4 linked regions of the Saccharomyces cerevisiae S288C genome follow. The protein of the gene in region 4 interacts with the protein of the main gene of each other region in a biochemical or structural test. Each region holds a gene or a part of one and is shown on either strand. Other genes may lie near its edges.

Region 1 (7,432 bases), on a different chromosome or scaffold from region 4:
TTTTCGGTTGACAACCGTTCCTGTTGTTCCCTTTTAGCCAACTTCAAAAGATGGGGTAATAGCTTGTACGAGTATTCAATCAAAAATTCCACTACTAGTCGGGATAACTCGTATTCTTTGGGGTCCATATCATGTTGAGGATGCGATAATATTGAAGGTTGGAAGATGGCCGCCAAGTTTCTACCAGACATTAGGTTAAACTGTGATTGCCTTGCAAAAAGACTCAGTAAATCGAGTAGGTATATAGTTAGCTGTTTCGTGTCATTTGATAAGGTAACAAAGAGCTCTTCATATTCCTTGATAGCTGCCCTTATATCGCGGGTCAGCCTTCTCTTATGACGTATTTTTCTTCGTCTTTTTTCTTCATCATCTTTAGCGTCCTCCTTTTCGATGTCACCATCATTAGCACCATCATCATTATAGTTCTGTCTACTTGATTTTACTGTTACATTATTTGTTTTATTCGCATTCGGATGAGAAACTTCGTGGGTCAACATATGCCTTAGGATTCTTGGTCTAGATCGTAGCGGGTTTCTGAATTGTTCATATAGGGATAAAGGTATTAGTGGTTCGGCCAAATTATTAAGGTATCTCCTCAGGAGCGATGCAACATCGTGCACTGTATATGTTTCCCAATCGTTGAATTTGGTACCATAATCAGGTGGCGACGAGAATATGTATTGAAGGGCTTTTACTCTTTTACCATTGCCCGCTATACGAAATATACCCGAGGTCTCCAATCCATTTGCTTTTAAGTATGCGCCGCACTTGGCTACCACGATGGGTATCCGACCAAAACTCACCAACTCACTTTGAACAATGACCTCTGCACTGGCGACGCTCAACGATTCTGCTAAAGTAACACCGAAAACCCTACCTGTGAAACCATTTCTATTAGATAAAAACATATCTCTGTAATTTTTGAACTCTGCGTGAGGCGATGTTCCGGAATTAGCGTTGTTATTGTTATTGTTCTGTTTCGCGGATTTGGAAAAGGATTTCCTATCTTTGGTTGGGGTATTATATGAATATGGTCTTGAAGATAATGGAGGCCGTTTTAAAGTAGTTGGTTGAGCATTCCTTGAAAGAGAAGTTGGTGATCTAGGGACTGTAATATTTTCGGATGACATACTCTTAGGGTTGTTTATGAACTGCTTCCAAAAACTTGGGACATGACCTTTAGAGGGAGAAACATTTTCAATTTTGGAGCCTTGTTTAAGAGTATTATTTGGCATTATAAAGATATTTTTAGTTTATCTTAGTGGTATTGAGAGGATGAAAGTAAGACCAAAGCAGGAATCAAATTGGAAGCTCGAAAGCAAACTTGTGAAGGCTAATTTCTCTGCCCCTCTACTTTAGAAAAAAATTGCTGTGAAATGAGAACGGCTTTTTGAACACTGCAATATAACTTTCTGGAGAAAATTTGTTCTGATAACTTTGTGATGCGTGAAAGCTTAAGAGATCAAAAATATGTGGAGTTTTCAAGTCACTAGTGAATAAAACCAGTGGAATGGGTAAAAAAATTTTTTGTAACGGGCCTGCTATTCTAGGAAACCTAACGAAGACTTTATCAATTTGTTTTTCCTCTTCTGAGATCGTCCGATCAAGCCTAACAGTTTCGCGAGTAAAAAGGATGATTTCTTCTAAATTTAGTATTAAAGTAATGAATGCGTACACCCTGCTTGAAGATGTTGTGCAATGTAGCTCAGTTTCTTCCGCGCCAGGCCACTAGTCTTGCTTTTTTCCTGTTTGTCAGCACCGGTTTCCCAACTGGGCTGTGTCATCGACAAGACAGAGATGGTGTTTTATAAAAGAGAAAGGAGACTGAGGAACGTCGTTTTAGGAAGACTAGGCGAGGTGAGCGAGAAAACTGATTTCCCCATATGGTAGGCTTTGTACCATATTGGGAAGGTGGCAGCCCTATTGGGAACGCGCTCCTTCCCTTTTGGGATATTGTCAGTAGGGTAATATGCTCGCCGCATGCCCGTAATAGATAGACTCAAACGATACTTTGTTGGTGGAAGGATGAATTACCCTATATAGTATTTAAATTAAGAAACATTACAATAAAAGAAAAAGGTAATGGTAACATCTCACAATAGAAGGTAATGAATACAGAGGGATGCAGGGGCCTCCTCTAGTTCTTGTTGAGTTGCACGTAGTTCCCAGGAAACACACCTTGCTGGCCATTGTATCTTCCTGTCCACCATTCGTTCACGTCCGGAGTACGCTGGACAATTTCTATAACTGCGCCGGCAGGGAAAGACAAATCACCAGCAGCTTGAGCTTGGTAGTCATACAATGCGGTAACAGTTTCAACGCCAGGAGCTGCCGCTACGGCCGCGGCTGGTGTGCCCGCAACAGGTGATGTTAGAGGATTAGAGTAGGCCGGTGGTGGTCCCTGTTGCTGCTGTGGTGATTGTTGGAAGCCTAGCCCAGTGAGCGGTGGAGATTGCGCAGCAGCATACTGTGGATAAGTACCCGGAACAGCGCCAGCAGCAGCACCAGCAGCAGTACCAACAGCAGCAGCAGTACCAACGGCGGCAGCAGTACCATACTGGGCAGCAGGTTGAGCGGCGTAACTTGGTGCTGCGGCACCATAACCGTATCCTGTAGGGGTTGGAGAAGTGGCAGTTGCTGGATCATACCCAGCACCATATCCGACACCGCTTGATGCGCCACTGACGGGTGAGCCTTCGGCGGTTGCTACACCATACTTCCTTCTGGTCATCTCCAATTTTGCCTTAGAGTAACCGAGTTTAAAGTGTGTAATAGTCAAGGCGTCCGTTTGTTCTTCCACATTGCCTTTCTTGGCAATGTACGACTCTACAATGTCACTGTTCAAATCAAAATATGGAATCTTCATGTCTTGAAGTCTATTATACAAAGTGTAAAAAATGTTCAATTGCATGAAATAAAATGAGACAAATAATGGTTTCACAAATTCAGCTTCCAAACTGAACAGTATTGGTAATTGAGTCTTTAGCAAGTCGTTATAGTAATCATATTCTTGTTGAGCCACTTCCACTTGAGCTTGTGCTTTATACAATCTTTCTTCGTCTTTGGCGGTTGGTTCCTTCTTCTTTTCATGCTTGTTATAAGTGTTTAGATGTCTATCTAAATCTAATTTTTTGTGATTTCTCTTGGTGGCCATTTTACGAATATAAGTAATAATCTTCAACAGTTCCTGGCATGGCGTAACAATTTTTTCTTCCACCAAAGCCAGATCCGGTTTCAATGTTTCCTGTAATTCTGCGACAATTGCCCTATACTGTTCACTTGCTTCAATACCTTGTGGGTTGTCCTCTGGTATGGTAGCGTTAGGGTCACTCATTTTACCACTGATAGGTTTGAAAATTTCCTCCATGGATTTGGCAAATCCAATTTGGTGTGTCAGCATTCCATTCACCGCAGTCGAGTATCTCTTCGATTCCTCACTTAATTTTTTTGTCTCCTGCTCCAATTCTTGAAAACGACGTTCTGCATCCTCGTAAACAGGATCCTCTGTCTGCTCACCCATCTTGAACTTTTGACGGAAGGACTGAGGAGCCCTACTAACAGCCTTGGTAAACCCTTTAAAACTCATGTGCACTTATTGGCTCCTTGATTCTTGGTGTTAAATGACCAGGTGAGCCTCACTTTACTTTATTCCTTAAAACAGGTTGTTAAACATCGACACTACAAAGCCCTCTCCTTTTTTTTTTCCGGTACCAATATTATCGCAACATCCGAACATCGGTCGGATTGATAATTTAGTCAGGTAGACTACCATAGCAACTGGAAGGTATACATAACAAAATTTCCATACGAAAGGAACTTCTTGAACTATATACAACCTTATATGTGCAACTGTAGCGTGCACTTATAGTCCATGGTCAAAAAGTATCTTTTCTCAGTAGAAAACAAAAGCGTACAGGCAAGCGACAGGAAAGTCAAAACTTGATAGAGGTATGTCTACAGATGAAAGTGAAGACGTTTATTCTGATCTGTATTCCATTATCTCCCAGGTAACATCCAATACTGCCAATGACATCGAGCAACTCCCATATGCTTTAACGTTCAAAACGTCGTTAATCTTCGTTGGTGCTACCATTGGTGGGCTTTTATTCGGCTATGATACTGGTGTTATATCAGGTGTTCTGCTTTCTTTAAAGCCCGAAGATCTATCTTTGGTAGTTTTAACGGATGTTCAGAAGGAGCTGATAACTTCCAGTACAAGCGTCGGATCATTTTTTGGCTCTATTCTGGCATTTCCTTTAGCAGATAGGTATGGAAGAAGAATTACTCTCGCAATCTGCTGTTCAATTTTTATCCTAGCTGCAATTGGAATGGCTATAGCAAGAACATTGACGTTTTTGATTTGTGGGAGATTGCTGGTTGGGATCGCTGTTGGAGTGTCTGCCCAGTGCGTCCCTCTATTTCTGAGTGAAATTTCACCTTCCAGAATCAGGGGTTTTATGTTGACATTGAACATTATTGCCATCACTGGAGGTCAATTGGTTTCCTATGTGATTGCGTCCCTTATGAAAGAGATTGATAATTCATGGAGATATTTGTTCGCACTTTCTGCTATTCCAGCTATTCTGTTCCTTTCAATACTGGATTTTATCCCTGAATCGCCACGATGGTCCATTTCCAAGGGAGACATTCTATATACCAGGGATTCTCTAAGAATGCTATATCCTACTGCATCTACATATCATGTGAATAGTAAAATTAAGCAGCTGATAATTGAACTCGATAAGTTACGACTATACGAAGATGCAAGTGAACCTTTACTAGTACAGTCCCAATCGGTTATTCGATACATGGATAGTTCAACCTCAGGAACTCTTAGCCCACCTAACATTAAAAGACTTTCCTCGAACACAGAAAGAACTAGCAACACAATGTCCTCCTCATCAGCATATCTATCGGCGTTGCGAGGCCCAGCTCCAAACGGTGCCCTGGCATCTAACAAAAAGAAAAGACACAGAATGGAGCCACGCACAATAAGAGCGTTAATAGTAGGTTGCATGTTAATGTTTTTCCAGCAAATCACTGGCTTTAATGCTTTTATGTACTATGCGGCAATAATATTTTCCAAATTTAATATAAAAAACCCTCTACTGCCTCCAATTTTGATTGCCTCAACGAACTTCATATTCACTTTTTTCGCCATGTACACCATGGACTCTTTGGGAAGAAGAGCCATTCTTTTGAGAACAATTTTGATTATGACTGTTGGGTTACTTCTTTGCAGTGTAGGTTTCGGTCATGACCAAGTCAATTTACTTTTAATTTCTGTTGTAATTTATGTTGCAGCATATGCTTCTGCGATGGGCAGCGTTCCATGGACCTGTGTGGAATTTCTCCCCTTGAACAGGAGATCATTTGGGGCATCATGTATAGCCTGCACAAATTGGTTGACCAATGCATTTGTTTCAATGACATATCTGAGCACTATTAACACCATTGGTGATGAAAATACAATGCTCATTTTTGCTTTTTTCACAGTTTGTGCCTGGTTTTTCGTATATTTTTGGTATCCAGAAGTCAAAGGTTTGTCACTGGAAGAGGTTGGAAGGGTTTTTGATAATGGAATTGATGTTCATTATGTCTTTCGTACCTACCATTGATGAGTTGTCAAGTGGCATCATAATGCATTGGGGCGGCTTTCAGATATGCTTCTGGTATATTTGTCCGTGAGAAATTAAGGCTTCTTTTCTTATATATGTATATATTAGTTAAAAGAATATCATCACTTTTTTCTTTATAAAACCTTGCAGGGATGACTATATTTCAAATTGCTAAAGTTTACCAAAAGCATCATATATCTTTTCTGAAAGAGATTTAGTAATTTTCTTCGCACCAGGTGCATCTCCCAGTACATTAAACATCAACAATTTAGCCTCTTCTTCCGAGGAGCACGTTTTATATGCCATTAGTATTTTATTCAGGGTAGGAAATATTTCTTGGATGGCTACTGCTTTTTCTAAAGATATACCTTTAACAAGCATTAAAACATGTATAGTTAGCTCACCAACCGTCTTTAGATCGCCTTTTCCCATTAGTTCTTGAAAGCATTCAAGATTATGACAGCATTCAATACCGCCTTTTCGTTCGAATTCTCGACGAAACTGTAGAAGCACCTTTTTATAATCGTCCTTGCTTTTAAGGTCACTTGGAAATATAACTATGAGATCTTTTTGAGAATAGTGATGAGAAATTACAGTATGCAACGCATGTATCTTTTCCACAGTTTCATCCGAATTGCAAGTTCTTATCATGGAGAATTTGTAATACACTAAAATGACCCAAAGCGCGGTCTTTAGGGCCTCATTCATATTTCCAATGTTGCCACTCATAGTCTCCTCAATGAGATAGTATTTGTGTTCACAGCCAGATTTCTCTAACCTATTTTTTTGCTCCATAAACCTGTTATCCCTTATACTTAAAGCTAAATCGTCTAGCCTTTTTCTTTCAACTATGGTGTTGAGCACACACTGCAACCCGGTATTTTTATTCTTGGCAACCCATATAATATCACCCAAAGCGAGTTGCCTTATCTCTGACTTCATACCTTTTCTTTCAAATGCCCTTGAAAAAAACTCACGATCAGATTGTGACTTTATTTCTCTGTGATCAATAATTGGGAAAACTTCGAAATCACCACTACACCACAATTCGTAACTTACTCCGTTGTACCTTCTCCTCTTTATTGTGCTTTTAGCCTTTAATGCGGAATCAGGTACTGTTTGATCATCAGAGACCTCTTCCAATTTATGAGAAGATATATTAGTTTGGCTATTCAGTCTATCATTTTTAAATACATTGTTCTGCAGCCTTTGCGGCGTGCTCAAATCTTGAAAAGTTATATCCAGCATGAATGAAGTGTTATTTATATCGCAGGGCTCTTCTTCCTTACCATATTCACCACGGAGGTCAGTCAGATTTGCTGTGAATTCACTACTTTCATTCCTGGTTACGGAATACTCGTTAGGTTCTTCATTTTCTTTTGGAAAAGAGATTCCGTCTGCCGTCTTTAAGCTCTTTGTTAGTTCTACACCTTCCTCTGTTAGCGAATACCGTTTTGGTCTACCTTCCTCAAGAACCAACGAATGTTTTTTAAGTGCAGCAATAGACGACCAAGCACCGTAGAATTCTTTTGTGGAGAAATTTGGAGTCATACAATGGTCACTGTATTTTCCTGCAACCTCGATGATTTGCTCTTTACTAACGCCTCGAGGAATGGCATTAAGCTCGAGTAAGGAAAGAAGGATAGCGTAGCCTCCAGATCTTTTTTTGGGTATATACTTCCTAGTTTTTCTCTTTTTAGTTCCCTTCTCTTCGGGAGCTTCATTCTTATCATTTTCGCATGAGTTTACTATGCTACGCAAAGCTGTAGTAGTCCTCTTTGGTGGTCTGGTGCTACTTGTCTGAGTTAAGGAAG
Region 2 (6,337 bases), on a different chromosome or scaffold from region 4:
TGCTGCTGCAAAGATCGTGGAAGGAGCAATCTCTTCATGGTCATTCTTAATAGACTGCAAGAGGTTTTCCATGGTGTCATTAACACCAGGAGATACTTCTACGTACCTCTCAGTATTTGCAGTCCAAAGAACGATTACTTTATCAAGGGCGTTTTCTTCTTTGAAATTCTGGATATCGCGTCTGATGCGTTGCAGATGGGTCCACTTACCCCTCGTGGTTACGTTGCCTTTTTCATCCAAATTGATGCAGTTATTGGCTCTCTCATCTTGATTAGCTGCAATGAAATCAGGGTAGTAAATGGAAGGAAGAGGCTTCACCAAGGACATCTTCGCCTTCAAGCGTTGTTGCAGATCATATTCGAGAACTTGACTTCTCTGCATAGCTTCGTATAGATCTGCGTTATTGATGTCCCAACCAGAGACGACAAAGTCGTTTGGGCTAACCATGGGCAACAGAGAGTTAAAAGGAGCATAAACGTCATTCCCCTCCGCATCGATACCCAGTTTCAAGGTAGAACATTGAGTCATGGAGCCGAAGTAGTTTGGTTGCTTAACGCCTTCCTTAGTTTGAAACTCCACATTGTGCTTATTCGCCAATACCGAGGCCACTAAAGTGGAGCCATTGTTGCCACCTAACCCAATGAGCATAATTCCTAGTTTTTCCGGCTTTTTCAAGTCAAGTTTGAACACGTAGTCTTGAACAGTGGGCGTTACATCGAAGCGGCCACTAGCTGTCTTCGTAACTACAGCATTTTCGTAGCTGTACTTGGTGAGCAGCTCGTTGTCCTTGTACGTGCACTTGTCGGTAACTACTTTAACGGAGGTGATTGGAGCAATATTATCTTCTGTCATTGTTACTTCTTTTTCACTGGAAAAAAAAGGGAATGAAACAGAATAAATCAAGGATAAAACTAACATTAGGAACCCGACAACAGAACAAGCCAAAAAAAGGTGACGAAAGCTCCAATTTATATACGTCTCAAATTAACATTGCCGCCAACGCAGAGGTGCGCTTTCTCTGCTCCATGTGAATTAAATAAGTTCAATATTCTGGGAAAGAAGGATGAAGATAAAATAGACAATACTTTTCACATGCCGCATTTAGCCGCCGAAGCGCATACTTGGCCTCCGCATATTTCACATTCAACACTTTCGATTCCGCATCCAACCCCGGAACACCGGCACGTATTTCATAAAAAGGACGTGAAGAACAAAAGGAACGAAGAAAAAGGCAATAATTTACTCTATGTGTTATTTAGAACTACGGTGATAAAGAGCTCGTTCCGATCACTAAGTACGGCCGGAAGAGAGCTGTTGTTTGTTGTCCATCAAGGGCACATCGGCACCGGCCTCATCGTCTTCATCATATGCTGGAGGCTGTGCTTGAGATTCCTCTGCAGGGTGAGCTTCCAGGTCACGGTCTACGGCGGGCGCAGTCGCATGTCTGCGTGAAAGATCGTACGAACGTTCACTACTCGTTTCATATACAACGTAGCAAGCGTGAATGATTGCTGGGAAGAATAACAGTAGGAAGAGAAGTAAGTTCAATAGTGTATCCCTGTTGAACATACCCTTACGCTTCCAGACGGCCACTGGGGGAATGAAAACCGCCAAAACCATTAACAACAAGTCGTCCTTGTTGATGGAATAGCTCATTCGATGGTCATGGTCATTAATATGGTCTCTGTCCATTTCTAAATTATATTTGGTTGTTTGCTTTCTGCTGGGTTTTTATTTTTTAACCTAGCCCCTTTCCTGCAGCTGGCTCATTCGTGCTGTACTCTCTTTCCTTTATATACTAGTGAGACCTTTTCCCCCGTTCCCAAAAAGAAAAAAAAAAAAAAAAAAAGAAAACGAGCCTTCATCACGTGCATTAAAGAAATAGTAATCCCAACGCACTCATCCGCTATATACATAGCGAAAAACTATATGCCCACTTCACAAATACGAGTTTGCATGTATAATATATAAGATTTATAAATGTTGTAGGGTGAATGTAAACGTTCAGTAATATACCGGTATATCTATCAAGATACGATCAATGCAACGCTTTACTGCACTGCACTACACCCCTTTTCCTCTACTTGTTTTTCTTAGTTCCTATTTCCCTCTCAAAATGCACCTGTTCACCAGAGTATTCTTTCTCATTGCAAGTATTACCCTACTTTATCGTCCCACACAAAGAGGAATATATATAGATTATAAGCGAATTGTAGATTTCGATGGAGATCTGATTTCCGTGCAAAATATCCAGGACGTCTATACACAGTGTTTACAACTCAGCTTATATTCATATCATGCCATTTCAAGATTATTTTCAGAAGAAAAAAGCAGCGTTCATTAACAGAAACAATAAAAGTAACGCAGATGCTTCAGCGCTACGAGATATTAACGATATTAACATAAATTTCGCCGCCAAGAGCAAAAACTACGTGTTCCCGCTAACAAAGCTCCCCGATGAGCTCATGCAAGAAGTATTCTCTCATTTGCCGCAACCAGACCGCTTGCAGCTTTGCCTTGTGAACAAAAGGTTGAATAAGATCGCTACCAAACTGCTTTATAGAAGAATATATTTGAACGACTCAAATGTAGTGAAGAGTGACTTCATGCATCTCGCAATTAATTGGACCCTACTGAACTTGCCGTCTTCGTTGAAAGAAGAGGAGTCCCGCGATATCGCCAACTGCAAATTGAAAAAACTTATAGAAACACTGCAAAATAATATTCACATTACTGAAGTCATCCAGTGGATAAGGATCAACTGGGATTTGGACTCTACCTTGCAAAGGTCCATTCTCAGCATCCTTTGCAATCAGGGCAAGTCCTTGCAAAGACTAGAAAACGTCACTGACCCGGCTTGTAACGATATCATCTCCAATGGTCACTTTTCCAGGAGCAACGTCTCAAGTTTCGACATGGCTCCTCCAAATTCATTGCCTGAGATGGTTGTTCCCGAAAATTACATTCCGAATCTCACCAAATATCTTTCACAGCGTATCTCTTCTCGGCTTTCTCATATGACTTTATTCATCGACCCTTTAAAACTGTTCAATTATCTTTACCCTTTAGATATCAAGTTACAAATCATCGATTTAAAATTGCATTGGAGGAGGGAGTTTTACAATAATGATTATTTTGTTAAAAAGATACGACCCGGCAATCCTCTGACTAAACTATCGGAGGTTTTTGACAAGAGGACATTGAAAATTCTTACCATCATTTCTTGGAATGACACTTTGTTAAAACGCGAGACAGAAATGCTGAAAGATTTTAAAGAATTTGAGAACCTGGAAGATTTGTCTTTGATTTCTATTAAGCAGGATGTTCATATCCTCGTAGATCTTTTTAGTTCGTTAACCAATTTGAAAAGACTAAAAATGGATTTCTTAGAGGAGTATGTACCTGAACCCACAAATCCTCACATATTTCTCTCCATTCTTTTAGCTTGCTCCAAATTGCAATTCATAGATCTGAGATACGACGGTCTTATCCCACAAATCATCAATATTCAAGAAAATAAGTTCCAACTAAATCAGCAATGCAACTGCACAAACTGTCAAATAGTATTCAGTGACATTCTGAAGGGCAAAATATTCATGTTCCCTGAAGACTACTATATTCACGATCTTCAAGACATTGCTGCAAAGGATATTTTTAAAATGATGAAATACCTATCTTTGTTACCATACTCTAAAGCTTGTGATGCTTATCCGAGCGTTAGAACACAACCAATGAATTTGACTAATTTTGTGACCAAGATGAACCGCAACCTTTTGGAATATAGAAATTCTAAATCCCAGTTGGTGCCCAAAATCGTTAATAACCCACATCAACACTCCACCGTGACTTCCACATCAACCGCTCATATGAGCGAGCCCGAAATGATAATAATCGATGACGATGATGATGATGATGAAATTAATGCGGCCATTCCTCCAAGTAGTGATGACACAGCAGCTACAATTTCCACTGACCTGGAACTTCCTCATGAATCATTGACCAAAAGAGATATTATTATGTGTTATCACGCTCTTATCCATCACTTCAAGTCGATTTACGTTACTTTTTTGAAAAGTTTTCCTCATTTGAGATTCTTGATGTTGAATGACATTCCCACAATAGTTATGGAGGAGAATAATGAACGTATTTTTGAACCCGTCTTTTATCATTATGATTATAAGAGTAATCTGTATGGATGGTCAAAGGAATCGAACAAGAATCTGGAGAACGACAGCAACAACAACAATAATAATTCTGATACCATTGCAAGAATAGCCACTGTTATGTAATCAACTCCCCTTCAAATATATATATTTAATAATATATATTCAACGCATTTTTTAAGCTAGCAGGATTCAGATTACTGGTCTACTTCATATTAAGGAAATACAAGATCCATTCGGATGCTAGAAAAAAATCAACCAACTATTCCAATGTTGGTAAGCTGGTTTGATAAAGTAAACACAAGATACTACAGTATACGATCACTCAGACATCCTAGGAAGGTCTCTAAAGAAGAGCGGTCACCGAGAGTACTAACGATGGGTTCGTAAGCGTACTCCTACCGTGGAAACTGCGAATGTTAAGGAACCAGTCTTTCATCACCGTGATCATAAATTATATATATTATCTGTCTCCTCAAATTACCCACATTTGATAATCTCATGAGAAAAAATAAAGGCTCAGATCTGCATGTGTTGTATAACACTGGCAAGAAAAGTTCCCGTTTGCAAACACAAATGATTAAAAAAAAATGTCACAGAAGCAACATCTTTTCAAAATCATTCGCATTAAGAGAACGAGATAAAATCCCTTGTCGTCATGGTCGAATCGGACGAGGAAAGAAGAGACACCATTATCATCAGGGCCAATCAATTCTTCTTTTCTGTTTAAAAAAGTGTCATGAAATTTCTCTTGAGATTATTCAAACTTGAATGTATCAAATGGGAAGGAGTGCAATGCTGAAGTCGAAAGAGGAGGATTACTCTCATTCTTACTACATTACAGTCACTGCTGTTTGTTCTTATGTAGGGGAATTCTTATTAACCGAATGTCGAGATTATTATAACCTTACAGAAGGTTGTCCAGTATTTATACATTTTGTTTCTGCCCATAAAGCTCTAGAAAATGAAAAAAAATTTTCTTTTCAGCCTGAGAAAGTTTTTTCTTAGGGCAGCGTGTGGTTATTGGGTGTTGCGAAACTTTTTTTCTCAAACATGAAATTAAAGAAATGAAAAATTTTATCGATGAGCATTGAATAGCTCAAGTTATAGGGTATTCGGTATCATATAGGTCTGTGATCGAGTGAGCAGTGAGCAGCTAGGATTCAATAAACGGGATTAACAAAAAATTGATATGTCCAAGCTTTCGAAAGATTACGTATCAGATTCAGACTCTGATGATGAAGTGATATCAAACGAGTTCAGCATACCAGATGGTTTCAAGAAATGTAAACATTTAAAGAATTTCCCTCTCAACGGTGATAACAAAAAAAAAGCGAAACAGCAACAGGTTTGGCTGATCAAATTCCCATCAAATGTGGACATCTCCAAGTTAAAATCTCTGCCTGTAGATTTTGAATCCTCTACAACCATGACAATTGATAAACACGATTATAAAATCATGGACGATACAGATATTGAGTCCTCGTTAACACAGGATAACCTCAGTAATATGACTTTATTGGTTCCTTCGGAAAGTAAGGAAAGTCTTAAAATTGCTAGCACTGCCAAGGATAATGCACCATTACAGTTTGACAAGGTATTTTCTGTCAGCGAAACCGCTAAAATCCCAGCTATTGATTACAGTAAGGTAAGAGTTCCACGTAAAGATGTTCCAAAAGTAGAAGGCTTGAAGTTGGAGCATTTTGCTACTGGTTATGATGCCGAAGATTTCCATGTGGCTGAGGAAGTTAAAGAAAATAAGAAAGAACCAAAGAAGCGTTCACATCACGACGATGAAGAGGAGTCTAGTGAAAAGAAGAAAAAGAAGAAGGAGAAGAGGGAGAAGAGGGAGAAGAAGGATAAAAAGGATAAGAAAAAGAAACATAGAGATTGAATGCGTATGTGCGTATAACTGTGTGTAACATAAGATAAAAATGTGCATTTGTGTGTGTGTCAGTGATTTTTTTTCGCATTTACATATATAAAAAGGCATTTCTGCTGGTGGAAACTGATGAATGTTTTGTGTGGGCAATATTACTATTTAGTTTTGCATACTTAAATTTGTGTATACGATTAGAAATTTCAATATTTCGGGTGTAACACAAACGATTATTTTTTTCTTGATTTAGAGTCGCCATATGAATATTATTAACCTGCTTTTTCTGTGTTCTCTC
Region 3 (8,726 bases), on a different chromosome or scaffold from region 4:
CATGGTGCACTATCATCTCCTCTATATAACGGTTTAATACGCTCTTCAGAGAAGATAAGTTCTGGGTAAGTAAACCATTTTTTTTTGTCATTCAGCCTTTCATTTATTTGTAGTTTTCTTTGGCGCCATAACTTTATCCAGTTCTTTTCAAACCTGTTTATCATCAACGTTTCGTTGACAATTACTGGCGTGCTTGGATAGTCTCTCCTCACTATTTTTCCATTCTTGGATACCAAGAAATATTTTTTGATGTCAGAATTCTTTTCCAACAACTTTGAGGATCTCATTGGAAAACTACTGGATTCAGATTTGTTCTCTTTTCTAGTATTCAGAAAAGGTGATGATTGGAATGTATCTCTCAAATAATATTGCAAATTTGGCGAAAAAGAGTCTGTTTCATCGTCATAGCACTCTTCCATCGTGTAATAGTTGGGAACAGGTACACCTTTGAATCCTTCCCTGCTGTCGTCTATAGAAGAATAACCAGCGGTGGAAGGCACTGTGTCAAAGGCAACAGATGGTTGGAAACTGCCTTTCTTTTTGGCCCGTTTTTTAAGGTTTTGTTCATTTCTCTCTTCGAATTGTTGTCCTGGAACATCGAATGTGAGGCTTCTGTAGCATTTTTGCAAGTCATTTTGTGGGCAAACAGAAATCATAATAATTTAAGGTTGACTTGCCAAAAGGGTGCGTGATCTATAGCAAGTTGAATATTAAAAGCCTTTTTAATGAGGAGTCCTTATTTTAATACGTGTTGGATTCGATGTCCTTTCTTTCTGGTCCTATGCATTAGTGTGGATGGTAACGAGACATGAACCCAGAAGGATATATATGTATCTATCTGCAAATCATATTGCTACTAATAATGGTAGATTGCCATTCACAAAAAAGCCGCCCCTCATAAAACTCAGCCGCGCAAGCTTTGAAAAGGGGCGAGCGGCTGAAACAGAACGGTCTTCTAGAAGGCTGATTCAGCAGTAATTAAGACAAAAGCAGTACTACCAGCAAGAACATAGGAGGTGATTGAGTTATTAATTGAGGTACATCTGAATTGCAAGAACTCTAAATATTTTCTTTTGCGATGAAAAACTGATGCTTGTGTGATTAACATATAACGTAATTCATTGAGAGAAAAGAGCAGCTGTGCTCGAGATCAATGAGTTGACTATAAAAATAGCAATTTCCGTAGGATCGCAAAGTTGGCTAACCGTATAAAATGGGAGGATATATACGAATGATGTCTGTGGGATCTTTAACATTTAATTAGAAAATTTTGTAGTGCCAATAATTGTTGAGGAAGAAGTGCCAAGTAAAGAAAAACAGATCTTCTGAAGCTCATTGTATTCTCATTATATTCTCTCAAAAATACGTTCGTATAACTGATTAATCCTGTTTTTCTAATCACTATTTTAATGTTTCAATTGAGGGATTTTGCCTTCATACAATTGTTGAGAGAAATTTTCCAACAAGTATGGGAAATATGAGCAATTCTTATCTTTTAAAAACAAGAACTGGTCCGATATTATTCACCTCAAACATATTGGACGAGATCATTTTTAAAACGTTAGGGGTGGGGAGGATATCAATAAGTTTTCATAATTATGTTAACCTTCAAGCCATAAAACCGAGTAAGACCACTTAACAAAATCTATGAGAAGCCTTGCGGCAGAATCTGACAACTTCAGTGAAATTTTTTTGTGATTATAGAAGCATAAACTACAACGCCGAATTGTTTTACTTTATAGCAATTATGAGGTAGTATTATAACATTATATTATCATTTTTCAAGTGGTATGAGGTATGAAAGTACTCTATCAAAGTATATATGCTTAACTGTACAAACGTGTATGAAGTATTGCTCATATCTTTTTGTCGAAATTTCGAAGACAAAAAATAAAGCAGTCTATGAGCGATCCCGTTTTGTGAACATCTCCATTAAATTAGCAAATGAACCTGTTCCTTGTCTTAATGGTGAGTTGCTATTGTTGCTCCGAACTGACGATGAGCGTGACCTTCGATTGTGGGTTGCGCTCGTATAGTTTTCCTCTTCTCTTGGCTTATTAGCGTCAGATGTAGAATCAGTTTTATCAAAATGTGAATTGTTCTTGGAACTTGAATTACTAGTGAAAGATGTTGTCATATTAAACGGAAAATGTCTGCTTCCTGTGCTGCTTTTTGCTGAAGTGAAAGAGAGATTTAGATTAAATGAACTATCTGTGTTGTTTCTCGCCAACTGCTGCAATGATACTGAGGATCCGCTATTATTCCTTGGTAATGGAGAGTGGGATAAATGTGTCCTACTAGACGATCTTTTCAGATTATTGGAACTCTTGCTCGAGCCTGGAAGTGGCAACAAAGAGGATGTAGACTTGTGATGAAGAATTTGTGGCCTTTCTAGTTCAATTTTTTTATTTTCTTGAACTCCAAGTTCTTCCTCGGGATAAGCCGGTGGAAGATCCTCACCAATCATATCAGATTTCATTGCTTTATCATACGAGGGAACTCTGCTTAAATCTGTCAGTTCCAAATCGTTCTTCAGCGATGTAGAAGATGTTTGGCGACTATATGAGTTACGCCTAGATAAATGTGCAAAGCTTGGTGTCAGTGAAGGACTATTCAATCCAGCATTAATGATGTTATTATATCTATTTGCAGAAGGAGAGTTATTGTTCCAATTTTCACTAATTGTTAGATTACTATTAACCAGATTCAGGTTACTATTGTTAACGCTGTCCCCTCGAGAGTCACAATTATTTAGGCTATCATCTTCAATCTTGATTTGAGGATTTGGTGCCAAAATAGGATTATTGCTATTGTTACTATCCGATATATATAGGTTTTGAATATTGTGAATTGCCTGTGATTCGACGGCACTTGAAGAAGCTGATGCTGAAGTTTCGTCTTCATTAGTTACCTCGCCATACACTCGATCGTAAACGTGATTGCCGTAGTTGGGAGGTACCATCAAACTAGTTACCATAGTTGTGTCAGCGACTGCGGTAGCCTCTGCATCAGTACTATTGATATTTAAAGTAGAGCCAGATACTATGGTTGGCATTGAAGACAATTGTAACGCAGAAGCAGATCTTTGAAAAATCACATCTTCTTCACTATCGTCTACAAAGTTTTTGCTGCTGAATGAATTATCGTGCTGACTTGTTACTTGATATGAGGGTCCAAACGTTTTGAGCGTTCTTTCAATAACATCGGAGGTCTTTACATTGACTGGAACAAACGGTGAAATGAATAATTGGACAGGCAGTGCCGCACGCAATTCTGAAATATGACCGTCCGGATTGAGTAAACTTATAGTGAACTTGATCTTATGACGGACTTTGATATTAGATAAAATGCGACAGTCTTGGGAGCATTTAGTCAGGCTTGCAGGTATGTTTAATAAAGCTCGAACTTCCCATTTATCTTGAAATTCCCCTGTGTCCGTATCAACCCCTTCGTCGGCAGCTTCATTTAGGCTCCTCTTCTTCTTTATTTGGGCAACGTGCTTCAGGGGATCTTTTAGTTTTAATTTAGCCACCATTCTTTCTTGGTTGATAACCCCTCCATAGCTACCACAATACTGGGAATTTTCCACCAAACTGATCCTAACAGGGCCTAACTTCAATCCTTTTAATATAGGAACAATTAAAATATTGATCATGGTGGAAGAGCCAATGGCAATTGCCTTAGTTGGAATGGAGATCGTATAATCGACTTTTTCAGGCCATGAGTTATCCACTGATACTGTTTCAGATAACTCGACTGCATCTATAGCTAACGTTCGAATAACTCTTAGATGTTTTTTACAGATCAAGTCGGGCTGCTTAGGTCTCTCGATAGTAGCTTCCAGAGCATAAGTGACGGCAGCATTTGGTAGGCCTTCTACACTTTCCACTAATGACCCAGGAATAATCGCGCTGAAAGGGAATTCGTAGTTACCTTTTACTAAGGTGTGATAGTTTTTGCTTGCGCTTGTCTGCCCATTACTTGATATCAATGATGCAGTAGAAAGGGCTCTTTTTCTCTTTGGCAATGCTGCTAAATTTGTTGAGGATTTACTAGAAATTGTTATTTTACCATTATTATGATTATCGTACAAGTTTTGGAAATAACTTTTTATATTAAAATCATCCCAAAAATGAGAATATATGTTTCTCTCAAACTTTGAGTATCGCTTATGCGGCCCATGAACAGTTTGTAAAACCGTTGGAATATTTAGTCTCAACCTACCAAAAAGTCTCAAAGCCAAAGACTTGATTTGAATTGGCTCAGTAATTGACAATACTATAGTTCCAGATAGTAGGACAGAAGATGCCTCATCAGGGGGGCCTTTTATCAGTAAAACATCATTGTCCAAATTTCTAAGTCTGATGTCAAATAGTAATGGCTCTTTTGAAGGTCGAGATGATGATGAAAACATTATTACTTATGGAGGAAGAGAAGCGAATGGTGTGATGAAATCGCGTTGATTTCTGTATGGTTGTTAATTAGTTTTAGATCTGCATCTTTTTGACGTCTATATTTGAATAGGGGACCCCTGTTCTGTTTTTTTCGCTTAATAAAAAAACGCTGAAAATTGCAAGAGCCCAGCCATACAAAATAATTTATAAAAACTGTGAACAGGAAGCTTCTCAGTTTTTATCGGAGAACCCATCTCTGGGGTTAGACATTCATCCGCATTAAAACTCCTATTTTTACTCGTAGTTTTCGGTCTTCAAAATAAAGCAGATTCCTTAAAGTTAGATGCTTTTATTCAACTTAATCAGTAATGTAACATAATATGTACCAAGGGACTCGACTCTTTTTGACCCATTGTTTAATTAATATGTGTTATAATTACAAGAATAATGCATTGTATGGACATATCTAAAAATACATAGAATAATTACATAAGGTCGAAAGTTGTGAGTGAATACATTAAAGTAGTAAAACTTCACCTATAACATTAGATTGCCCAACGCTGACTACTGTCTTCTAGATATGGAACTTGTTACTCCTTTCTAATAGTTTTCTTCGAAGGGCACCTTTTTTAGCATATGCGCGCAGTTTAGTTTGCAGTCGGGTAGGGCCAAAATTAGAATATCTTTTGTTACTTCCATTATCGCGGTGATCATTGCGGGCTTGTAGTGATTTGATTCGATTCATAATTTCATCCTTTTTAGACATATCAGGTTCCTGACGTGTGATTACTTGATTTTTCAATGCGTTTAATTTAACATCCAAATATTTAAAGTATAGTTTTCGTAAAATTTGTTTGTCATTGATATCTGTAAAAGTAGAGTTCACCTCCCAAGTGGAAACATCGGAAGCGTGGAAAAAGTTTGGAGTCTGTGTAGATGGTATATCTTTGTACCAGTCTCGTTTCATCATGTCAGAAATATATTTACGGGATTCGGTGTCGAGAATATCGTTCTTTTTTAAAGCAAAATCAGGTAGATGTGTAGTATTAGGATGATGGTGATAGAAATGCTTGACATTTACTTTAAATCCAACTAAGGAATTCAGGTGTTCCTCCAAAAGATTTTCGTTATATGAGCGGAGGTTTAGTAGCTCCTCTGTTAATTGTTCGTTCGAAGTATCCTTTACCAATAAAGATTTATCCTCGTACTCAGGTGACAACGGCAGGGCTACAATATTTAGCACCGGTTCGTTAAAGAAGCGGCCACTTTTGGATCGTTTTTCTTCAACTTCGGTTTTAAGCATTATTTTGCATTTTTCCCATTTCGTATTACTTGAGTTAAGTAACTGCTCAACGTGTTTCAAAATATTACTGAACAGATTCATAGACATCTTAAATTCCCTATTAGCCACCAAGCAAGCAATTTTCCTATCGTCCCTGTCATAGTGTAGAATGTAGTCCTCCTCACCATATATCCCTTTTGTGATATCATTCTTCTCCTTTAACAAACTGTCGAATTTGCTGTTATACGAAGAATGGATTATATAATCTAATTCGTCCAAAGGTAGATATTGGAATCCAAACATCTTAGAAATATTGTGGTATGCAACGAAAATACCGTCCATTTTGCCAATTCTAGCTTGCAAAGAATACTTTAGAAGGGCAGACCTGATTAGTTCAAAATATTCTCTTTCCAAAGACTCAAATTCCCCATAAACTTTATCTATCTCATATCCAGTTTGGTTGTTATTACTCTCTACATGTGATAAATCGTATCTTATGGCAGAAACTGCTCTTGTCTTCAGATCAAATACACCCGTTCCAGGTAGATTTGGGTCGTACGCGTCCAATTGAGATCTCACAATGAATTCATCTATACTAGAATAGTGATAATTTTCACTTTTTGAACTATTCTTCAGGGACTTTTCCGTTAAAAAGTCTTCAAGATAATGACCTAGTACAGAAAGCACAATCTCCCTATCCAGACTTCTATCTGAATCAATAGAACAAATGCCATTTCTCTTCTTTCTCAGAATGACTGCTGACGGAAAATATGCACTTTCTGAATAATTGCAGTTTTTTTGAGGAAAATTTTTCGATATCGAGGAATCAATGATATTCAATCTTCTGAAATTGGATAATAAATAGTGCAACTGAGAAAGTACTGATGTCATGGAACTTGATGAAGATATGTACTTTTTTCTATGTTCTTTGGCAACCTTTAACAGAGATTCATCTTTGTGGGGTGTGATGAATATTGGCTTGCTTTGTCCTTCTCCAGAGGAGTCTGTGTTCACATCTTTTTCACTTTTCTTTTCCAAATACTCTGGATTAATATTTTCCACTGCAGGGTCAAAATTATACATTCTGCTCCTATTATCTCTCAATTTTTGTAGCGACAACGGTTGGTATAACACTCTCGTTAATCCATGACCAATCCTAGGAGGCTTTTGGTTGTGTTTTTGAACACCATCTTGATTGTAACGTACTAATGCGTGCCTAATCTTCTGGACATTTATCCGAAAAGTGTATGAATTGCTATCTGAATATGTTCTGCTAGCGGGATATGTTCTCCTAGCGGGATATGTTCTCCTACCAGGATATGTTCTTCTACCAGGATACGTTCCTACCTTTGTCCGCTCCAAATACTTATCATGTCTATACTCCTTCTTTATATTTGTTTTCAGTAGATTAATCGCCTTGTCCATTTCTTCCGTATATTTTTGTCGACCTCCCTTTTCCTTGTTTCCAATGTCCTCTACAGTCGAATTTGTGTCATATATTTCATCGACCATCTCTAAAGCACTATGCAGGTCAGAACGTAGCTTGTCTGGTGTTTCTCTTCCACTAGGGGCATTTGTGAGAGCAGCGCCAAAGTGATAAATCGATCGCTGTTGATAGCTTTTAGCGGCGCTACCTATTCTGCAAGGCTCAACAGATAGACGTCTGGACAGGAATCTACAGTTGTAGAACCCCATTATCAAAACTATAAAAGTATCAGGTAGCGTTTGGCTCTTTTTTGTGCTCTCTCAAGTGCCCTGTTTATATTATATTTTTACATATTTGTTTCTTTATTAACCAACGGCATTGACGGAAACGCGCTTTATTATGGACTACTTTTTTTTCACTGTTTCCTGTTTTTTGACGTGATATACTCAAAGATGAGCGATTGACGATCTGAGAATTCTATTTGGGAACTCTTCTCTGCTTTGAAGACATTTATTTCCCAGCTGCCTTTGAAGTAGTTTCACGAGCGCTAGTGAAGTTTTTTCATAAATATATATTCCCAATCATCGCTAGGAATTATGCGCGTTTTTACTTTGATTGCGATTTTGTTTAGTTCATCTTTGTTAACACATGCATTCTCCTCTAATTATGCTCCTGTAGGCATATCATTACCTGCTTTTACCAAAGAATGTCTTTACTATGATTTATCCTCTGATAAAGATGTCCTTGTGGTCAGTTACCAAGTTTTGACAGGTGGGAATTTCGAGATAGACTTCGATATTACCGCCCCTGATGGCTCTGTTATCGTCACTGAAAGACAAAAGAAGCATTCTGATTTTCTACTGAAGTCGTTTGGTATAGGTAAGTACACTTTCTGTTTGAGTAATAACTACGGCACTTCCCCAAAGAAAGTTGAAATCACCCTCGAAAAGGAAAAGGAAATTGTTTCTTCCCATGAAAGCAAAGAGGACATAATCGCAAACAACGCCATCGAGGAAATTGATAGGAACCTGAATAAGATCACCAAAACAATGGATTATTTAAGGGCTAGAGAATGGAGAAACATGTATACTGTGAGTTCTACTGAGTCAAGATTAACATGGCTCTCATTACTAATTATGGGGGTAATGGTTGGTATCAGTATAGTGCAGGCATTAATTATTCAGTTCTTTTTTACCAGTCGCCAAAAAAACTACGTATAGGTTGCTTTTCAAGCTCTTAAAATTGTTGGATCAGCTGTGCTAAGGGGAAGGCACTTTTTTGTATCATGATCCTATTTTTTTTGTTATTTAATTATTTATGACATACCTTTATACTTTAGTTTTCAAAAATCCAATAATAGATAGGCAAGGTTTACGGAAAAGAGTGGAGTGCAAAATAAATAGAGGAAAGGCAGAAGGAAGAAGGAAAGCGAAAAGAAAAACGAAGATATATTTGGAGAAAAGTATAGAAATAATAAAATGAAGACACATCGATTGAAGTATGCTCAAATGATGAGAAAAAGAGACCTTTATCTCAGGCCACAAACAACCATTGTCCAAGTGGCTTATCTTTGCTATAGTTTTGTTCGAATATTCGGGGATTCTATCTTTGGTTTCTTCAACAA
Region 4 (8,529 bases):
ACTTTTTTTCTAGTGGTTTAACACCACGCTCTAATACCACACGGTGTTGAATAGAGCGTTCACGTGCATCCATAGCAGAAGGATCTTTGCACTCGTCGTCTAGCCTATTGCCTATAAGCATCAATAGAGAATTTATGTACCCTAGCATGCTCCCATTTTTTAAGGATAGCAGCGATACTTTCTCAGCAGGCTTCTTAGCGTCGTAAAATAGATGCTCATGTAGTTGGTTACTTTCAGGAATCTCATCGGTCGCAGAATTACTATAAATCCCAGACAACCTCTCCAAGGATTCTGATGTCGCAGTGAGCGAGCCGTTGATATCTTTTAATAATGCATTAAGTTCAGACATTCTTGGATTTGTGTGTTAGTTGACAATTTTAATTTCTTCATCTCTTTTGACACTTTAGAATGGTATAGCTCATCGGTTTCTTTTCTTCAACCTTGCAGGAAAGGCGTAAAAAATTTTATGTCGTCGGCAACGGTTCTAGTAACAATCCGATGAAAAATTTTCCGGACAGCGATGAGATGCACTTTTAAGACAATTGAATGGATTAGGTATCAGTTAGAGAAGAACTTGGTTTTCGTATCTGGCGTTTTTATCTTTAGTCAGTAGTCAGTCTCGTATCAATACTGATATATACAACGAAACAATGCCTCAAAACGATTATATCGAGCGTCACATCAAACAGCATGGTAAAAGATTAGATCACGAAGAAAGGAAACGTAAGAGAGAGGCAAGAGAGTCTCATAAGATTTCTGAACGGGCCCAGAAGTTGACTGGTTGGAAGGGTAAGCAATTTGCTAAGAAGAGATATGCTGAAAAGGTATCAATGAGAAAGAAGATTAAGGCACATGAACAATCTAAGGTCAAGGGTTCATCCAAACCATTGGATACCGATGGTGATGCTTTGCCGACATATCTATTGGACAGAGAACAAAATAACACAGCCAAAGCTATTTCTTCATCGATCAAACAAAAGAGGTTGGAAAAAGCTGATAAGTTTTCAGTTCCGTTACCAAAGGTTCGTGGTATAAGTGAAGAAGAAATGTTCAAAGTTATTAAAACAGGTAAATCTAGATCCAAGTCATGGAAGAGAATGATAACGAAACACACTTTTGTGGGTGAAGGTTTCACTAGAAGACCAGTTAAAATGGAAAGAATCATCAGACCAAGTGCGTTGAGACAGAAAAAGGCAAACGTCACTCATCCGGAATTAGGTGTAACTGTCTTCTTGCCAATTTTGGCAGTTAAGAAGAATCCACAATCTCCAATGTACACTCAGTTAGGTGTTTTGACTAAAGGTACCATTATTGAAGTTAACGTTTCGGAATTGGGGATGGTTACTGCTGGTGGTAAAGTTGTCTGGGGTAAGTATGCTCAGGTCACAAACGAACCAGACAGAGACGGCTGTGTCAATGCGGTTTTGCTTGTATGAGCAAAAAAGTGCTCCGTTTTTTTTTTTTTTATCTCGATGGTTCAAATTAGGTTTACTTTTAATTTAATAATACGATATACGTCTACAAGCACAAAAGAACAGGTATATAAAAAATGTACGCTCTGTCCTGTTCGGGTTTCTCTTTTTACTTCTCGTCATTCTCTGTACAATATAACAAATCAAGAATTTATTATCCGGTTCTTTTTTCCTCACGACAAATAACCGATACTCTCCGTGTGTAGGTGACTGGCAAGAGAGGGATTGCCTAGTACGCTCGTTTCAAGTATGTACCTCACGAGAGCAATTTCAACTGTAGTATAATACCCAGGTCACTATTCAGTTTTAAAATGCAAGAAAATTAAAAAACAAAAAACGTATGGTTGTAAAAAGCAGGGCACATTATATGTATATAAATAAAAAAAAAAATTAATAAAATCTAAAAAGAGGATATAAAAAATAAGAGGCGTAAGGCAATATAAATTATTGGTATCATGCTCCTTTTGAAAAGGAAAACCTCCTCTTATGGCGAACTTGAAAAGAACTTTGCGTAATCATCAAAAAAAGCACTTCACGTTTTCCTGCATTTTCTTTGCTGCTTTCCATGTTGCTGTAAAAACAACAATGATTAATCATTTCATGAGCAACTCAGATAAAATTAACAAAAAAGAGTTTTCTCTTTACTATTGTTAGCTGAAATATAAAACAAGATGATTGAGGCAGAAAGAATGTTGGGAAAACGGACACCATAAATAAAAAAAAAATTGGTGCGGAATAATCATTCTTGACCAAACCCTATGGTTTCTTCCACGGCCAATGTTAGCTTCTGTTTCATGCTGTCATAATCAACGTATTGTGGCAAATCAACTCTGTTAAAACATGTGTGAGATTTTGGCAATTGTTGTACTTCACCAGCTTTTTCAATAGTGAATCTTCTTGGACCATCAGAGCCTTGCAAATCTTTAAACCCGTTGACAGGTATACGAGAAGTACCAGTGGTGAACTGCAATAAACGGGCTCTTTGTTCATTATCCCATTCACTGACACACTTCCAAAACCATTGAATGACCTCGTCTGACTCTTGGTAACCACGATAATCAGTGTGTTTCTTCCAATCTTCAATGTCAATTTCCGCAATACCACCGATCAATAGTTCTAGTTCACGCTCATCAAACACAGTTACTAAGTCTTCGGGGATTAATTCGTTAAAACCATCCATGAATGCCTTAAATTGTTCTTGAACTCTATCAACAATTCTCCATTGGGTATATAATTCGACATATTCTTTCTTATTACCATCAGTAACTTCAATATTTCTCCCATCTGGCTTCAAATCCACTGTTACAACTTCACCGAATCTTTCATCGTCGGCACTGAACGTCAGATCCAAGACACCATCTATACTATTCTCAAGCATCCAGTTTAATGAGTTATACACCTCTGCGTCAACACCTTCCATATCTTGCAATACGACTTTTTTACGTAGCATCATTTTGTAAAGTGCACCTACAAAGAATGCATCCAAAAATCTTCTATGGAAAACACCAAGACCCACAACTCTACCAATGAATTTGAAATAGTTCAAATGTTCGGGGTTGATGCCACTGTTAGGATTTATTTGAATGGTATAGTTGTCATACGCAGAATATTCAAACAAACAATAAAATGGATTAAACATCTCATGTGATAATAAAAAGAAAAATTCTCTGGAAACACCACCGTAATCTAAACCTTCCTCACCATCAAACTTGATCATTAATCTTTTCTTTAAATCTTCTGGGGTTTGTCTCATAATTTCTTGATAAGCATCCTCAAAAATGTTCTTTCTACGTACTTTAATATGACATTGTCCCGGCAATATTCTAAGAGCGGGCTGGGACCTGAAATAAATAACCTTACGTCTGAAGTCACGCTTGTATTGTGGAACATTTTGGTCTAGCGATGATGGAAGTCTTGGGTCATCCCAGGTCGTTGTTTTTGTATTGTGGTCAACGAAATATACACGTGCCGTATTGGTCAATCTCATTTCCCATCCAGAAGGCAAAGGACCTAATTGGGAGACCGGTTGTTGCTGAATGGTGGTATTTGTAGGGCCATAAGTACGTATATACTGTTGTCTCCTTGGATCCACCCAAGTGGTTGTTCTAGTATTATGGTCAACGAAATAAGCTCTTCCTTCTGGAGTAAATCGCTGCTCCCAGCCTGAAGGTAATTCGCCTAAACCAGATGTGGTACCACCTGTAGCTGCAAACGCTGCTGCTGCTGCACCATTAACAGGAGGTATATTGGAACCACCTCCCACTTGAACTGTTACAGAGGAATTATCTGATGATCCACCAGGTAAAGTTCTTCCCCTATGCTGCCTTCTCTCTAACTCAGTATTTGCATTTAATTGGTTGCCACGTTCGGCTTCTGTTTGATCGAGCGTTGGACGTTTCCAAGTGGTAGTCCTTGTGTTATGATCGACGTAATATGTACGACCAAAGTTATCGGTCCTTCTCTCCCAACCAGGGGGTAAACGACCATACTGGTCTTCAAACGAAGAGTATTGTCTGGTAGCACTGGATGTGGAATTGGTGGAACGGTGACTGGTTGTTGCCGTATTAGTAGCAGCTGTTGTACCGCTTTGAAGAGTTGATTCTACTGCTTGCGCGGTGCCTCTGGAAGGATGAGACGTTGAATGATTACGGGTGGAGGAAGTAGAATGACCATTTGTTCGAGTAGTTGAACTTGTATTCGTACTAGAAGATGCAGTATGGCCAGAAGGAGCTTGTGAATGCGGACTTGACGAAGGTAGTTTTGATAAAACAACAATCAACCTACCGCTGACGGCCATTCCGTCATTAGATTTTTTTAAATCACGAGTAATAGTTTCTTCGCGAGGTCTACCACTCGATGTAGCAGTATCTTCATCCAAATGGCCCAAAACATCACCCACGCGGACGTTAACCACGCCAAGAAACCCTTGATCCTTCTTTTTAAATTTCTTTTGATCAAAGACTTGGATGGTTAAAATAGAATTTTCATTGATATCGTCGAATTTGAAAGTCTCATTCCAGTAGGGATTTAACGTTTTCTTCGCTGCGGATGTAGATTTGGTTTGGTAACCATCAATAGTCAGAACAGCAAACGGATCCGGGGAACGGAATACGTCCCTCTTATATAATGACTCTGCAGCCACTAACTTGACGGATATGGATGAAGGCATTTTTTTTCTTTTTTCTTTCCTTTCTGTTACTTTAAATATAATACCCAAGCTAACAAAGAAAAGGGAATAAGAAAAGGGGAAAATAGTTTTTGGTAAATTTATCGAACTAAAAACGCACTAAGAAAAAGCTGTGGCTTATGAAAGTGAAAGTCGAATAACACTATATTCGGTAGTTCCAACTAAAAGGTACTTACACACAAAAACAAGCAATTATTTCCTGCTGTTTTATTTGCTACGCACTCACTCTTCTAAAGAAGGACTGAACTGAAATTTTGACTCACTTGCAAAATGTGCTTCACGAATTATAGTAACAAGTCCAAAACTGTGGAAAAAACTGACAGCGCTTATTATCTTATAATCGTTTTTGTTTAACGAAAAAGTCGACTCTTGTAGCTCTAACGAAGAAAATGGAAAACAGCCTCAAAACACAACAAAGTCCTTTTATCAATTAGCAGATGCGATACTCGAGTACCCTAAAAATGGTTAAGCGTATGTCTTTTAATTGTCGAGATAGAAGCCCCCTCCCCCGCCAGCAAAAAATATTACCTTTCACCATGAAGATCACTGCAATTTGGTCTTTACCAAAAATTTCCACTAAATTTTTGTTTTTTCCCCTTTCTCGTATAATGTCATTATGTACGTAAGATCACATGATCGTATACTGTCACGTGACTGTGCGGCTGGTCTGCGCCAGCAATTTTTTTTTTCTGCTCTCAAATGTAAACAAACCAGCAGTCTGTTTTCTAAACAAATAAACATTAAAAGGTAAACAATACCAAATAATAATAGCAGCGTCAAAGCTACATTCTCAGTTCTCAAAGCTATTGTGTTGATTTCTATGTATGATTCAATGCCGGCATGATGTTAAATTTGCTGGTTTACTGAATAAGGCTTGGTTCATAACCAATTTGTAGTCATGACGACATAGCTGGGTGGGTGCTTACTGGTTTACATAAATAAGTGCGTAAACGTTTTACAATATATAAAAAGGTAGAAATATCTCTCCCAAGCTTTCCTCAAACTATCTTTTGGCTTCTTCTTCTTGCATGACTTCCAAATTTTAATCTGTGTTTGCTAAAAAATTTGATTGTAGGTGTGATAGTGAGAGTGACACGTATTAATATTATGCAAGATACCAAATACTACGAACCAACAAATATTTTTCGTCAGCCTGCTATTAATATAAAGAAGAGATCAGATAAAAAGAGGATTTTACAATCGATGATGACTTTATCCACATACAAAAAAACGTGGCAAAACAATACTTCGAAAATGAATTCACCGATTTTGCGAAAAGCATCAGACAACTTCAATGACTATTATACAACTAAAAAATTAAAATCAGATTATTGGAAACTGTACGGTGTTGATGAAAGTGAGTTATCCATACCTTCAGACATGTCCATTGTGGATAATATACTTCTAGTATCTACAATGAACGAGAAAGACAACTTGAAACTTTTTGAAATTTCCGCTGAGAAAAAGCTGAAGGAACTACAGACGATTACTGTTCCCGGTAAACCCATTACTTGTATCTGCTTATTGCCCATGGTAGATTTTCCGCCACAGATTTTCCCCAGCTCTCAAATAAATCCTAACCACAACCAATTAATATTGACAGGTCATCAAGACGGTATAGTCAATCTGATAGCAACTTCAACATATAAGGGATGTGCTAAAATAATAAAAAGGTTTAACCACAACAAGTTTCTAAAATCTACCGTATCAACGTCGATTCCGATTCTGGAAATAACGCCAAAAACAGCACCTATTTTGAAGGTTTCGCCATGGAACAAGACCGGTTTTGTTTCCCTTCTAAATGACTCCCTCTTTATATATGACTTGAAATCAAATCTTGATTGCATAAAAACACCTATTTTTTTGCAATCATATCCAGGTATAAATTCTTTTGCCGTTAATGAATTCCATGATCCCTTCTTACTGGCCTTAGTTGGCTCAAAATTTGGACCAAATGGCATCTCGCTGCTTGATTTGAGAACAAATCTCTATATTCCAGATATTTTAGATAATAGCATATCTGCAGGATGTGGAAAAGACCATTTGCAAAGAAAGAACACAAGTTTGGATTGCGTATGGATAAGTAATCATCACGTTGCACAGAGCTTGAACGATAAAATTCAAATTTGGGACATTCAATCCTGCGACGGTAAACCAGTTTGTGAATTATATGCTAAGAAAGGATACATTGAAAGTCTAAAATTTAACGAAAACACAGGCGCGTTATATAGCAGTGATGACCAAGGCTTTGTCATTTGTTGGGATTTACAAAACCTACAAAACATGAAATATGGTGAGTTAGTCCATGGATTTAACTCAATTAGCCTAGATAGTGAAAGTGAACTACTATTAACCAAGCAAGTCTTCCAATGTGGAAACATTATTGTGAGTGGTATGAGTGATAAAAATATTTGCTTGAAGAGCAATGACACTAAGGCCAATGGAAAAGGATGTGGATTTTTATTCCTTGATATGGCAAACGATGGAAGTTTAGTAACTCTTGACAATTTTTGTGAACTGGGATTACATCAAATTTGTCAAGTTCAATTCAATGTCGATACCGGTAAAATAATCGATGGTAATGGTACTGGGAAGAGTGGAATATCTGATTCTTCTATGTTATCATTATCCAATGAGAGTGACCATAGTATGACAGAAACATCTGATGATATGTTCTCAAATTCTGGTAATTGGGATTGTTCTTCAGCAAATACTGTTAGCGAAGGTAGATTGAATGATGACCAAGAGGATATCGTCTTCACAAAGAGGATGTATTCTGTAAATGATGTGCATTTAAGTGGATCTACTATTGATACTACTGTTGTCTAGTTTCCTTGAGTGCTTTCAAATAAAAACAAATAACATATCAATGAATCAAAGTAACATTTCTTTGAAGATAATTTCTTTGTCTGTCACTCAGAATGCCCTTTATTACTAACGACCATCCTCCTTGATGAAGGTGAAAATCAATAAAATTCAAATTGTGACCCAAGTCCAGTCAGTGGATCCTTCTGGTAACACAAGTATTCGGTTTTTTTTTTTTCTCCATGATCTGTATGTTTTACTAAGCTTTGAATTTTTCTTACACAATGTATATATATATATATGTGTGTGTATATCAAAACAGCGCGCGTAATTGTATGTAGCATTTAGAATCAAGTTCAATGCCGAAATTTGTTATGGTTGCCTACGTTTTTTTGGCTTCTTAATTTAATATCAAAATCTTCACGATATGCATTCATTCTCAAGTTTGTAATTGTGCATTTTTTTATATATAGTCCCGCTCTCAAGTGAATTAGAAAAGTAAAGTATACACGCAAAACAAGGGCGTAAATAAAAGAAAACGAAAAAGCAACTAAATAAAAGCTTACATCCAAGTATCAAAGAAGTCGCTCACGGTTTCTCCAATTCTTGAACCTTGATTAATCATAAATTACATATTATTTTGGATATTCTTAAAAAAATGCTATAATAGTGCTTGAAGATAGATTTAGCACACCAAAAACATACCGGGATTAATATATATGTGCGTGTAGTCTTTTGATAAAGGAATATACAGAAGGAAAACGATTACGATGCTGACTATGTCTCATTTTCTTCTTTTTCCTGTTTCTTTACCCTCTCCGGAATTCAATTATTGTAGATGATAAAATAAAGGGTAACAGAGAGAAAGAGAAACAAAATAATACATTATTGGAAAGTCATAAATTGGGAAAGAGCGGCATAAGGAAACAGCCAATCAAAAAAAAAAAGGAAAAAGAGAAAAGTATAAAAATCGCTTTATCAACAGCAACAAAAACAGCAACAACAATATTTGTATATTTTAGAACAAAATGTATCATTCTCGTCATCAGAATAAGCATCATTTTC

What was found.
Region 1: the proteins of RSP5 (region 4) and RVS167 form a complex in vitro, tested with the Saccharomyces cerevisiae proteins (4 studies listed by BioGRID, with this or other methods).
Region 2: of the proteins of RSP5 (region 4) and SNA3, one has a biochemical effect on the other in vitro, tested with the Saccharomyces cerevisiae proteins (11 studies listed by BioGRID, with this or other methods).
Region 3: the proteins of RSP5 (region 4) and ROD1 form a complex in vitro, tested with the Saccharomyces cerevisiae proteins (4 studies listed by BioGRID, with this or other methods).

The regions. Positions count from the first base shown.
Region 1 is NC_001136.10:1,246,340-1,253,771, reverse strand, and holds RVS167 (amphiphysin), read right to left. Parts: upstream 3,587-7,432; coding exon 2,138-3,586; downstream 1-2,137. Other genes in the region: GTPase-activating protein SAC7, read right to left, coding at 1-1,235; CIN10 (Cin10p), read left to right, coding at 3,951-5,618; MUS81 (Mus81p), read right to left, coding at 5,790-7,432. UniProt on the Saccharomyces cerevisiae protein: Component of a cytoskeletal structure that is required for the formation of endocytic vesicles at the plasma membrane level.
Region 2 is NC_001142.9:135,082-141,418, forward strand, and holds SNA3 (Sna3p), read right to left. Parts: upstream 1,693-6,337; coding exon 1,291-1,692; downstream 1-1,290. Other genes in the region: inositol-3-phosphate synthase INO1, read right to left, coding at 1-852; SCF ubiquitin ligase complex subunit DAS1, read left to right, coding at 2,298-4,289; DNA-directed RNA polymerase I subunit RPA34, read left to right, coding at 5,356-6,057.
Region 3 is NC_001147.6:360,057-368,782, reverse strand, and holds ROD1 (Rod1p), read right to left. Parts: upstream 4,415-8,726; coding exon 1,901-4,414; downstream 1-1,900. Other genes in the region: YOR019W (uncharacterized protein), read right to left, coding at 1-656; PET127 (Pet127p), read right to left, coding at 4,969-7,371; ERP4 (Erp4p), read left to right, coding at 7,699-8,322; YOR015W (uncharacterized protein), read right to left, coding at 8,431-8,726. UniProt on the Saccharomyces cerevisiae protein: Mediates resistance to o-dinitrobenzene, calcium and zinc.
Region 4 is NC_001137.3:406,301-414,829, reverse strand, and holds RSP5 (NEDD4 family E3 ubiquitin-protein ligase), read right to left. Parts: upstream 4,642-8,529; coding exon 2,212-4,641; downstream 1-2,211. Other genes in the region: small subunit rRNA maturation protein LCP5, read right to left, coding at 1-349; rRNA-processing protein NSA2, read left to right, coding at 651-1,436; DSE1 (Dse1p), read left to right, coding at 5,767-7,488; casein kinase YCK3, read right to left, coding at 8,443-8,529. UniProt on the Saccharomyces cerevisiae protein: E3 ubiquitin-protein ligase which accepts ubiquitin from an E2 ubiquitin-conjugating enzyme in the form of a thioester and then directly transfers the ubiquitin to targeted substrates.